2 linked regions of the Oryctolagus cuniculus genome follow. The protein of the gene in region 1 interacts with the protein of each later gene in a pairwise test. Links are inferred from orthologs where the notes say so. Each region holds a gene or a part of one and is shown on either strand. Other genes may lie near its edges.

Region 1 (3,957 bases):
GCAGTGGACTGCAGGTCAGCCGGGGGTACAGCCTGCCAGAAAGTTGAGGCTTTGTGTGCTCTGGGAGGCTGGAGCTCGGCCGGCGAGGTGCCCACTCCCTGGAGGCGGCTGTCTGGCCTCTGGAACTGGACACATCTGTCTGGGATCCAGCTCCGGGATGCTGGCTGTGCATCCTGGGGAAATGGGGTAACTTCTCTGAGCCTCAGTTTCTGGGGAGGATGACAGTGCCCCGATGGGGCCCCCATGGGGGTTCAGCGCTGTGCCTGCCACCTGCCACATGCATGCGTCCCTGTGTGCTGGCTGGCCGTCACTCCAGCTCCTCCTCCTGGGCTGCCCCTTTCTCCCAGATCCGGGACATCCACAGCTGGAGCACCACAGCCTTCCGTGGGCAGCAGGTGCTCTACTGGGAGTCCAGGGGCAGCCAGGCCGAGGTGGAGTTCAGCCAGAGCTTTTTGGAGGCCGGCGCCAGCCTGCGAGGCCACTACTGGACCTTCTGATGGAGGGTGCGGGAGGAAGAGGGACAGCGGGACCTGGACACTCGGCCCTGGCTGTCCCCTCCCCATCCCGCTCATCCCCACGTCGGCCTCTGACCTGCCCTCTACAGAGTGGGTGTCCGGGCCTTGCTCTCCGACAGCTTTCTGGTCTTGGGAGGCGTCGGCTGGAAGGCGAGCACACTTTGGAAAAGCCGTGCCAGCCCCCTGGGAACCAATAAACAAAACAGACCAAACACGGTGCCTGACTGTTTGCTGTACGTTACCTGCCCGAACCTTGGCAAGGTGGGGTTTTCCTGGCTGTGACTGGCTCCATCCTGAAGCCAGCAAGCCACTCGCCTACCCAGGGAGGGCAGGAGAAGAGTGTGGAGTCCGGACTGGGCCTGGAGGCCAGGTGCACCTGCTGCACCTGCCAGTGCCGAAGCCCCACCCCCATGCTAGTCCGGGTGGGAGGATCAGACGCCCAGGTGCCAGGGCCGCCAGGCCCCGCCCCGTGCCAGGGAGCGCCAGATGCCCTCCGGCGCTGCCTTGCGAGCCCCGCCCCTTATGCCCGGTCTCCCTCGGGCGCACCTGCCGGGGCTGCCAAGCCCCGCCCTCCATGCTGATCGGCGCCTCGCGGGCGCACCTGCGGCGGCCTGAGAGCCCCGCCCCCTATGTTAATACGGCCGCCTCTCCCACAAGGCAGCGCGCCAGGCCGAAGCGGCCGGGCTCCGAGCCCTTTGTGAGGGTCGGGGGCTGCGCAGGTCCGCGGCACCATGAGCGGCTCGGGCGGGGCGGCGGCGGTGTCCGCCGGCTCGGCGCCGCCCGCGCAGGAGGAGGGCATGACGTGGTGGTACCGCTGGCTGTGTCGCCTGTCGGGGGTGCTGGGGGCCGTCTGTGAGTAGCCCCCGCCGGGAAGGGACTCGCGTGGGGTCTGGGGTCCTCGGGCGCCGGCCCGGGCGGGGGCGGGGGCCGGGGAGCCGGCGCCCTCTGGTTGCCATGGTTCCTGGCCTCGGGCCTGGGCTCCTTGGTTCCCAGGACCAGGCTGGCGATTCCGGAGAGGGAACACAAACTCCCACCGTGAGCGCTGCGCTGGGCATGTGGCCGGGCCTGTCCCAATGATGCTGGGGACACCATCACCTGGGAAGGGGTGTGTGTGTGGAGAGAGCCCTGCCCCAGCCTTGGGACCCGACTGTTGTAGGTGGGGCGGGGCAGGAAGCCACCGTCCGTCCGGGAAGTATACTGATGGGGAGGTCCGGGCCCCACTGCCCTCAACGATGCCAGAGCTTTCTCTCCGAAGCCTTCAGCTGCCTCTCCTTGGCCCTTCCGGACCCCCCTGGACACACCCCTGCCCTGAGCTCCCAGGCAGGCGGGCGGCCCCTTGTAGCACAAGTCCGGAAGGCACACAAGGCAGGCGGCACGTGCGGAGCAGAAGGGACGTGGAGCCCTGGGAGGAGCTGGCCCGCGAAGGCAGGCAGCCGTGTCTGTGGCCTGTGCAACCGCCCCCTTCTTCCTGTCTGCCCTGGACATCACGGCCAGGCCTGGTGCGTCCTCTCCAGTTGGGCCGGTGGCCTCCCTGGCAGCCTGGGGTGGGCGCTCCTGAGCAGGTGCCGGTGGTCAGTGGAGAGCAGGAGGAGAGGTCCCGGCGTAAGGCCGGCACAGCCGGTGGCCCTGCCGACTCTGGAGTCCCATCCTGGGCTGTGGGTGCCGTGCCCGGGCGCTGCAGATGAAGCCGGGAAACACTGTGGCATCTCCCTGAGTTGTCCGTGTCGCCTGCAGATTAGGGGGACGGTGTATGAATCACAAGAACTGTGTCCCACCGTGGGATGGCAGAGCGTGGGTGTCTCAGGGACGCACGAGGGTGTGCATCTGGCTGGGCCCCTTGGGGGTGTGGTGCTGCCCTTTGGGGCGAAGGCCTCGAAGAGGACCCGGAGGGGCGTCCGCCCTGGCCGTAGGAGGGTCTGGAGGCAGCAGCTTGGGAGGAGAGAGCAGGCTGCACGTGACGTCAGTGACAGGCGGTCACAGGGGAGGCGGGAGCGCGGGAGGCCCTGGCCCACAGCTCCCTGCTGCTGAAGATGCTGGCGGGATCCTGCGCGTGTGTGCGGGCACCTGGCCGTCCCTGGAGGACGGAGGGCCAGGGCTGGAGCTGACCGCAGCGGGACGTGCAGGCCCTGGCCAGGGAGACGCAGCACAGCTACCGAGCGGGCGGAGCCGTGCCGTCTTGGAGACTTCGGCCGGGACAGGCAGTGCCCCCGCGTGTGTCTGTGGCCCTGGGAACCTTGCTGTCCCGGGATGCCAGGGAGGCCTTGGGCGCCGTGAGGGCAGGCCCACGGCAGCCCGGGCTCGGTTCCCCCATGTCCTCCTCCGGCACCTGCTGTCTGTATAGGGTTACACGGGAAGATGGAAAACAGCCAAATTCCAGGCCCAGGTGGAGGGATCAGGTGCAGGGGAGCCTCTGCAAGTTTAATGAGCTGTTTGCTAATTGCTGCCTCCGAGGGCCACTGCCCCGCCCCATGACCTGGGCTCGCCCGGCTCGGGTCCTGCCCAGCAGCCGGCTCCCTGGAACTGCCTTGCAGCAAAGCCAGGTGGTCCTGCAGGTGGAGGAGGGAGGGGTGTGGCGGGCCTGGTGGAGAGGTGCAGCGGGGAGGAGGGCTTCGAGGTTGTGCACCCGGGACCTTGGAGAAGGCCCCTGCTGGGGTGGGAGAGGACACCCCTGCCCCCTGGCGGTGTCCCAGGGCAGGGAACAGGCCTAGAAAGAGGGACGGCGCGCCCAGCTCCCTCGGCTGCTGTGGGACTCAGAGCTGGGACCCCTGTCCGGCTCCAAGGGGGCACCGCTCGCTCCGACCACAATCTGAGGCGCATGGCTGCATGGGAGGACCTCGAGTGAGCCGTGCCACGTGCCCCAGGCCTGGTTGAGGTGGCGCCGCGGCCTGAGCCCCTGAGACGCATCGCCCCTTAAGCCCAGCCCCGCTGAGAGGGGCGTCCACACCCCGGGGACAGAGGCCCAGCTCCTTGGGGGACAGTGGTGGAGAGAGGAGGGCGGGCGTCCCTCACAGCCTCCCTCTGCCCTAGCTGCAGCCCGGCCATCGTCCTGCCGGGGCCCGGGCAGTGTGGAGTGAGCCGCAGCCTCTCCTGCGCCGGTCGGCGCGGTGCGGACTCCTGGGCGCTGTGCCGGGCCCTGCCGACTCCTCTGTGTCTTGCTCCCCAGCGTGCGCCATCTCTGGTCTGTTCAACTGTATCACCATCCACCCTCTGAACATCGCGGCCGGCGTGTGGATGATGTGAGTAGCCCCGGCGGGCCTGCTTTCCCACTCTGGCCGCTGTCAGACCTCCCACGGAGGCTGCAGGCCATGGGGCACCCACCTGGCACAACACAGTCCCTGTGCATGCCAGACAGGCGGTCACCACGTCCAGCACCGCGGGGCCCTTCTGGGGGCTGCTCCCTAGGGCTTTGCAGTGGCTGGGCGAGGGCAGGGCAGAGACGGGC
Region 2 (4,104 bases), on another chromosome or scaffold:
ATATAATGACTGGACACTGACCTTTGAGTTATTCTTGAAAGACTCTATCAGCAAAGACAGCTTCCTCTGTAACTCTTGCAAGTCCTTTGAGATACTCGGGGACTCTTCTTTCACCATCCTGAAGGTTACTTCAATCTTCTTGAGGATTAATTCTCCTGTCAGTAAATCAATGGAGTGCGCAGTCCAATCCCTCATGCCACTTCGTCTCTGTCACTGGAGAAAAACAAAAATGTTTCTTAAATCATTAAAGGTCTCCATCCAACTGGTTCCACAAGAACTCCTCACACACTGAGGGAGGGCATGCAGACAGTGGATAACTTGGCAATATTTATCCAAATTTCACATTGCACACACTTTAACCCAGCAACCGAAACCTAAATAATCAAACAAGTTTATAAAAATGTAGCCAAAGGACGTGTAGCACATCGCTGTTTATAATATATAATGACCGGCAGGACACTGGGAAGAAGCTAACTGCCCTTCAGGAGGAAACTGACTAGATAATGGTAAATTCAGTCACTAAAATGATGTTACTAATCAGTGACATTAAAAAGATGTTCAGGGGCCAGCATCGTGGCTCACTAGGTTAATCCTCCGCCTGTGGTGCCAGCATCCCATATGGGCACCAGGTTCTAGTCCCAGTTGCTCCTCTTCCAGTCCAGCTCTCTGCTGTGGCGTGGGAAGGCAATGGAGGATGGCCCAGGTGCTTGGGCCCCTGCAACCGCATGGGAGACCATGGCTTTGGATTGGCACATTTGGGGAGTGAACCAACAGAAGGAAGACCTTTCTCTCTGTCTGTCTCTCTCTCACTGTCTATGACTCTAACTTTCAAATTAAAAAATAAATAATATTTATTTTTTATTTAGATGTTCATGATACATTTTTTAAAAATACTCCAATTTGTTACAAATATGTCTTTTATGTATATATTGCAGAGTAAAAGATATTGGACATATAACTATTAACAGTATCATCACTGAGAGTCTTTTTTTTTAGCATGGCAAAACACTGAAAAAAAAAAAAAACAGAAAGCAAGCTGAGGACACTATTTCAAGGCACACTGACCTTAAAAAATAAAAATGCCTTTCTAGTGAGACAATGATGTGGCCAATCTCTTTTCTTTATTTACTACCCATATTGTACAAGTTGGTTCCCAATGCCCTAAACCAATCTGTTTACTTGTGGGTCTCTTCCCAGTTTTGAGAGCTGTGCCTTAGGGAGAAGACCTTGCCGCAGTACATCCTCTGACTAAGGAGCCTGGAATTTCTGGGACGCTCCCAACCTCACATCATTTTTATTTATTTTTAATAAGGGCAGTTGGCTAAATACTTTTTTGATCCTTGCTGAGCTTTTATACTCCCCCCAAAATGGCTTATTTTATGATCCCCCAAACAAGGTATCTTTTCCATTTCTCCCTTACCATTGACCCCCTGACCTGTAACACAAATGCCTAACGCATTCAGTCACAGTGGCCAAAATTAACTGAGAACCTCACATTTATTTACCATATTGAATATCCTGCATGCTAATTATGTGAGTTACAAAGCAGAAGTTTCCCAATAGCTACAGGGTCTTGTGGGCAAATGAAAGCGCATTTTCAGGGCTCCAGCTAGCGCTGTTCTGCCTGTGGACAGGGAGGATTAAAGTCCCTCCACCCCATCTTCCATCTCTGAAGCCGCAGCCGGCCCAGACCTTGAATTTGAGATGTTCCCAGCACTCGGTTCTCCTAATCTCATCTCCGCAGCGGGTAGAAACAAGCCCAATTCCCAGGCACATCTCCTTTGGCCTGGGAAACCCAAGCGCCAGACCGGTTTGGGAAGTCCGATGGGAGCTAGCGTGGGGGAGCACGCCACCGCCAAGCCATCAAGTGCATCGACCTGGCCAGCGAGTTCCTTACCCCTAGTCCCTGGCTCCTCGCAGGGGTCTCCGCGGGAACCAGGCAGCCTTCGCCGCACGGACGGTGCCACCTGGCGCAGCCACAGGTGCCCCGCCAACCCCCAAAGCACCTCGCGGCTCTCGCGCCCCCGCGGGCAAACGGCCACCCTCTAACGGTCCAGCAGGGAGGGGGGAAGAGCGGGTCGCATCTCTGGCTGGGGGAGGGCGCCTGGAGCCCACCCTAACCACCTCCTTTCCCACTGGGGCCCAGTCTTTCTAGTACTAGAAGCGGGGGGCATCCCAGCGAGGAGGAATGGGATGTGACCAAGCCACGCGCCGCGCCCGAGAGGTCACCGAGGCTGAGAAATGGGGACTCGAGGCGGGCTGGGGTGAGGGGTGCCGAGTAAAATCCACCCTTGCACTCGCAGCTCCTCTCTCTCGGCAGTGACTCGGTGGAGAGGACGGCACCCATTTTCAATACTCCTAGGCAGGAGGTTTGACTGCACGTCTTCCCAACCGGGTCTCCCGAAAGGAAGACGGTCTCCGAGGCAAGGTGGGGTTGGTCACCCTTTTACCAAACCTTGGCGTGCACTCCCAGGCGCGTCTGTGAACTCCCAGACAAGGAGACACCCCCTTATCAGTGACCCCGGAACCTGTGCACACTCTCGAGCCGCCGCCCCCGCGCTCTTCCACAAGTTCCCCGCGAGCCAGGGGGTCTCCGCGGCCGAAGCACCCTGGGCCGCGCGGCCCCGAGCGTGGCGCTCTCACCTGGTCCCGCGGCCGCGCTGCCGCCGCCGCGCCTGTGTGGGGAGAGCGGAGGGAGGCAGGAGGAGGAGGAGGAACCGGAGCCGCCTTCCCCGCCCCTGGGCGCGCGCGCCACCCCGAGGCTCCGCCCCCTGCCCGCGGCCGGAAGGTGGGCGAAGGCTCCGCCGCGGCGGCGGCGGCGGCGGCGGCGGCGGCCTCGCGGGTTCTGTGAGGCGCGCCGGGTCGCTGGGCCAGACTTGGGGTCCGCCCGGACAATCCCCGAGAGGTGTAGGGTTGAGGAAACAGAGGCTCGGAGAGTGTCCCTTCCGGCGGCCTGGGCTTGGAGTGAGAGTGCCCGGATCACCTCAGGGTGATGCTGAGGATGGGTTTTCGAAGGAACTTAGGGTTTCGCCTCCTAAATTCGCAGACTCGGCTCTTCTAGAAGCATCTGTGGCGCTGAAGACACAGGTGCAGGTGATGAGGTACCAGCTTGGCTGGAAGTCTTTAGTCGTTACCCTCAGGGTTAAAGGTTATGAGTCACAGAGCCTTAGAGATGGATTTGATTAGTTTTTTAAGTTGTTTGACAGGCAGAGTGACAGGGAGAGAACGACATAGACACATCTTCCAGCTGCTGGCTCACTCCCCAAATGCGGGCAACAGCATTAAGGCAGGCGCCAGGAAGTCCATCGCAGTCCTAAGTGCATGGGCCATTGTGGCCTGCCTTCCAGGCACGGTAGCAGGAATGCTGACTTGGCAGTGCGGAGTAGCCAGGGCTCTCTCCCAGGTGGGATGCAGGTGTCCCAAACAGCAACTTAAACCGCTGGGCCACAGCGCCCACTGCTGGCATCTCTCTTGTACTTATGGTAAAGTTTTGAGCCAGAGCTACAGCACAGATAAACCCAAATCCCTCAGTTCTAAGGATCCAAATACGAGCGAGCAGGAACTCAGGTTTCCTGGCCCAAATCCACAACCTATTAGAGCAGACTTTCTCAACAGCAGGGTTGTTGACATTTTGGGGTGGTAGTTCTGTTTCTGGACTGTCCTGTGTATTGTGGGATTTTAATAACAACCCTGGCCTCTACCCATTTCATACCAGTAACAAACCCCCTCCCAGAAGTGGTAACAGAATGTCCCCAAATATTGCCAAATGCACCCTTGGGAACACAGTTGGCCCCTGTTGAGAACCACTACCAAAGGGCATACTGGGAAAGACCAGAGACTGGAGGTTCAACAGCCTTGGACTGTGGTCCCAGGACTGACTCTTAATCTGTGACCTGGGCCGAGCTACCTCTCTGAGCCATGGCTTCTTCTGTAAAATGGGGCCAGAAAGGCTTCCATGGTGGTGCAGTGGGTTAAGCTGCCCCCTGCGACACCAGCATCCATATAAGCCCTGGTTCGAGTCCCAGCTGCTCCACTTCTGATCCAGCTCCCTGATAATGCACCTGAGGAAATAGTGGAAGATTGCCCAAGTACTTGGAATTCTGC

Evidence for each region.
Region 2: the proteins of CACFD1 (region 1) and LDAF1 interact in binary tests that used the Homo sapiens proteins (3 or more experiments, as listed by UniProt). The two-hybrid records come from large-scale screens. The link is inferred for Oryctolagus cuniculus from reciprocal best matches to the Homo sapiens genes CACFD1 and LDAF1.

The regions. Positions count from the first base shown.
Region 1 is NC_091432.1:235,451,740-235,455,696, forward strand, and holds the start of CACFD1 (calcium channel flower homolog), read left to right. Parts: upstream 1-1,157; 5' UTR 1,158-1,246; coding exon 1,247-1,367; intron 1,368-3,678; coding exon 3,679-3,751; intron 3,752-3,957. Other genes in the region: ADAMTS13 (A disintegrin and metalloproteinase with thrombospondin motifs 13), read left to right, coding at 348-497. UniProt on the Homo sapiens protein: Transmembrane protein which mediates synaptic endocytosis and fitness-based cell culling.
Region 2 is NC_091450.1:18,055,753-18,059,856, forward strand, and holds the start of LDAF1 (lipid droplet assembly factor 1), read right to left. Parts: upstream 2,801-4,104; 5' UTR 2,644-2,800; intron 2,429-2,643; exon of another isoform or gene 2,289-2,428; intron 2,037-2,288; exon of another isoform or gene 1,898-2,036; intron 214-1,897; 5' UTR 196-213; coding exon 22-195; intron 1-21. UniProt on the Homo sapiens protein: Plays an important role in the formation of lipid droplets (LD) which are storage organelles at the center of lipid and energy homeostasis. In association with BSCL2/seipin, defines the sites of LD formation in the endoplasmic reticulum.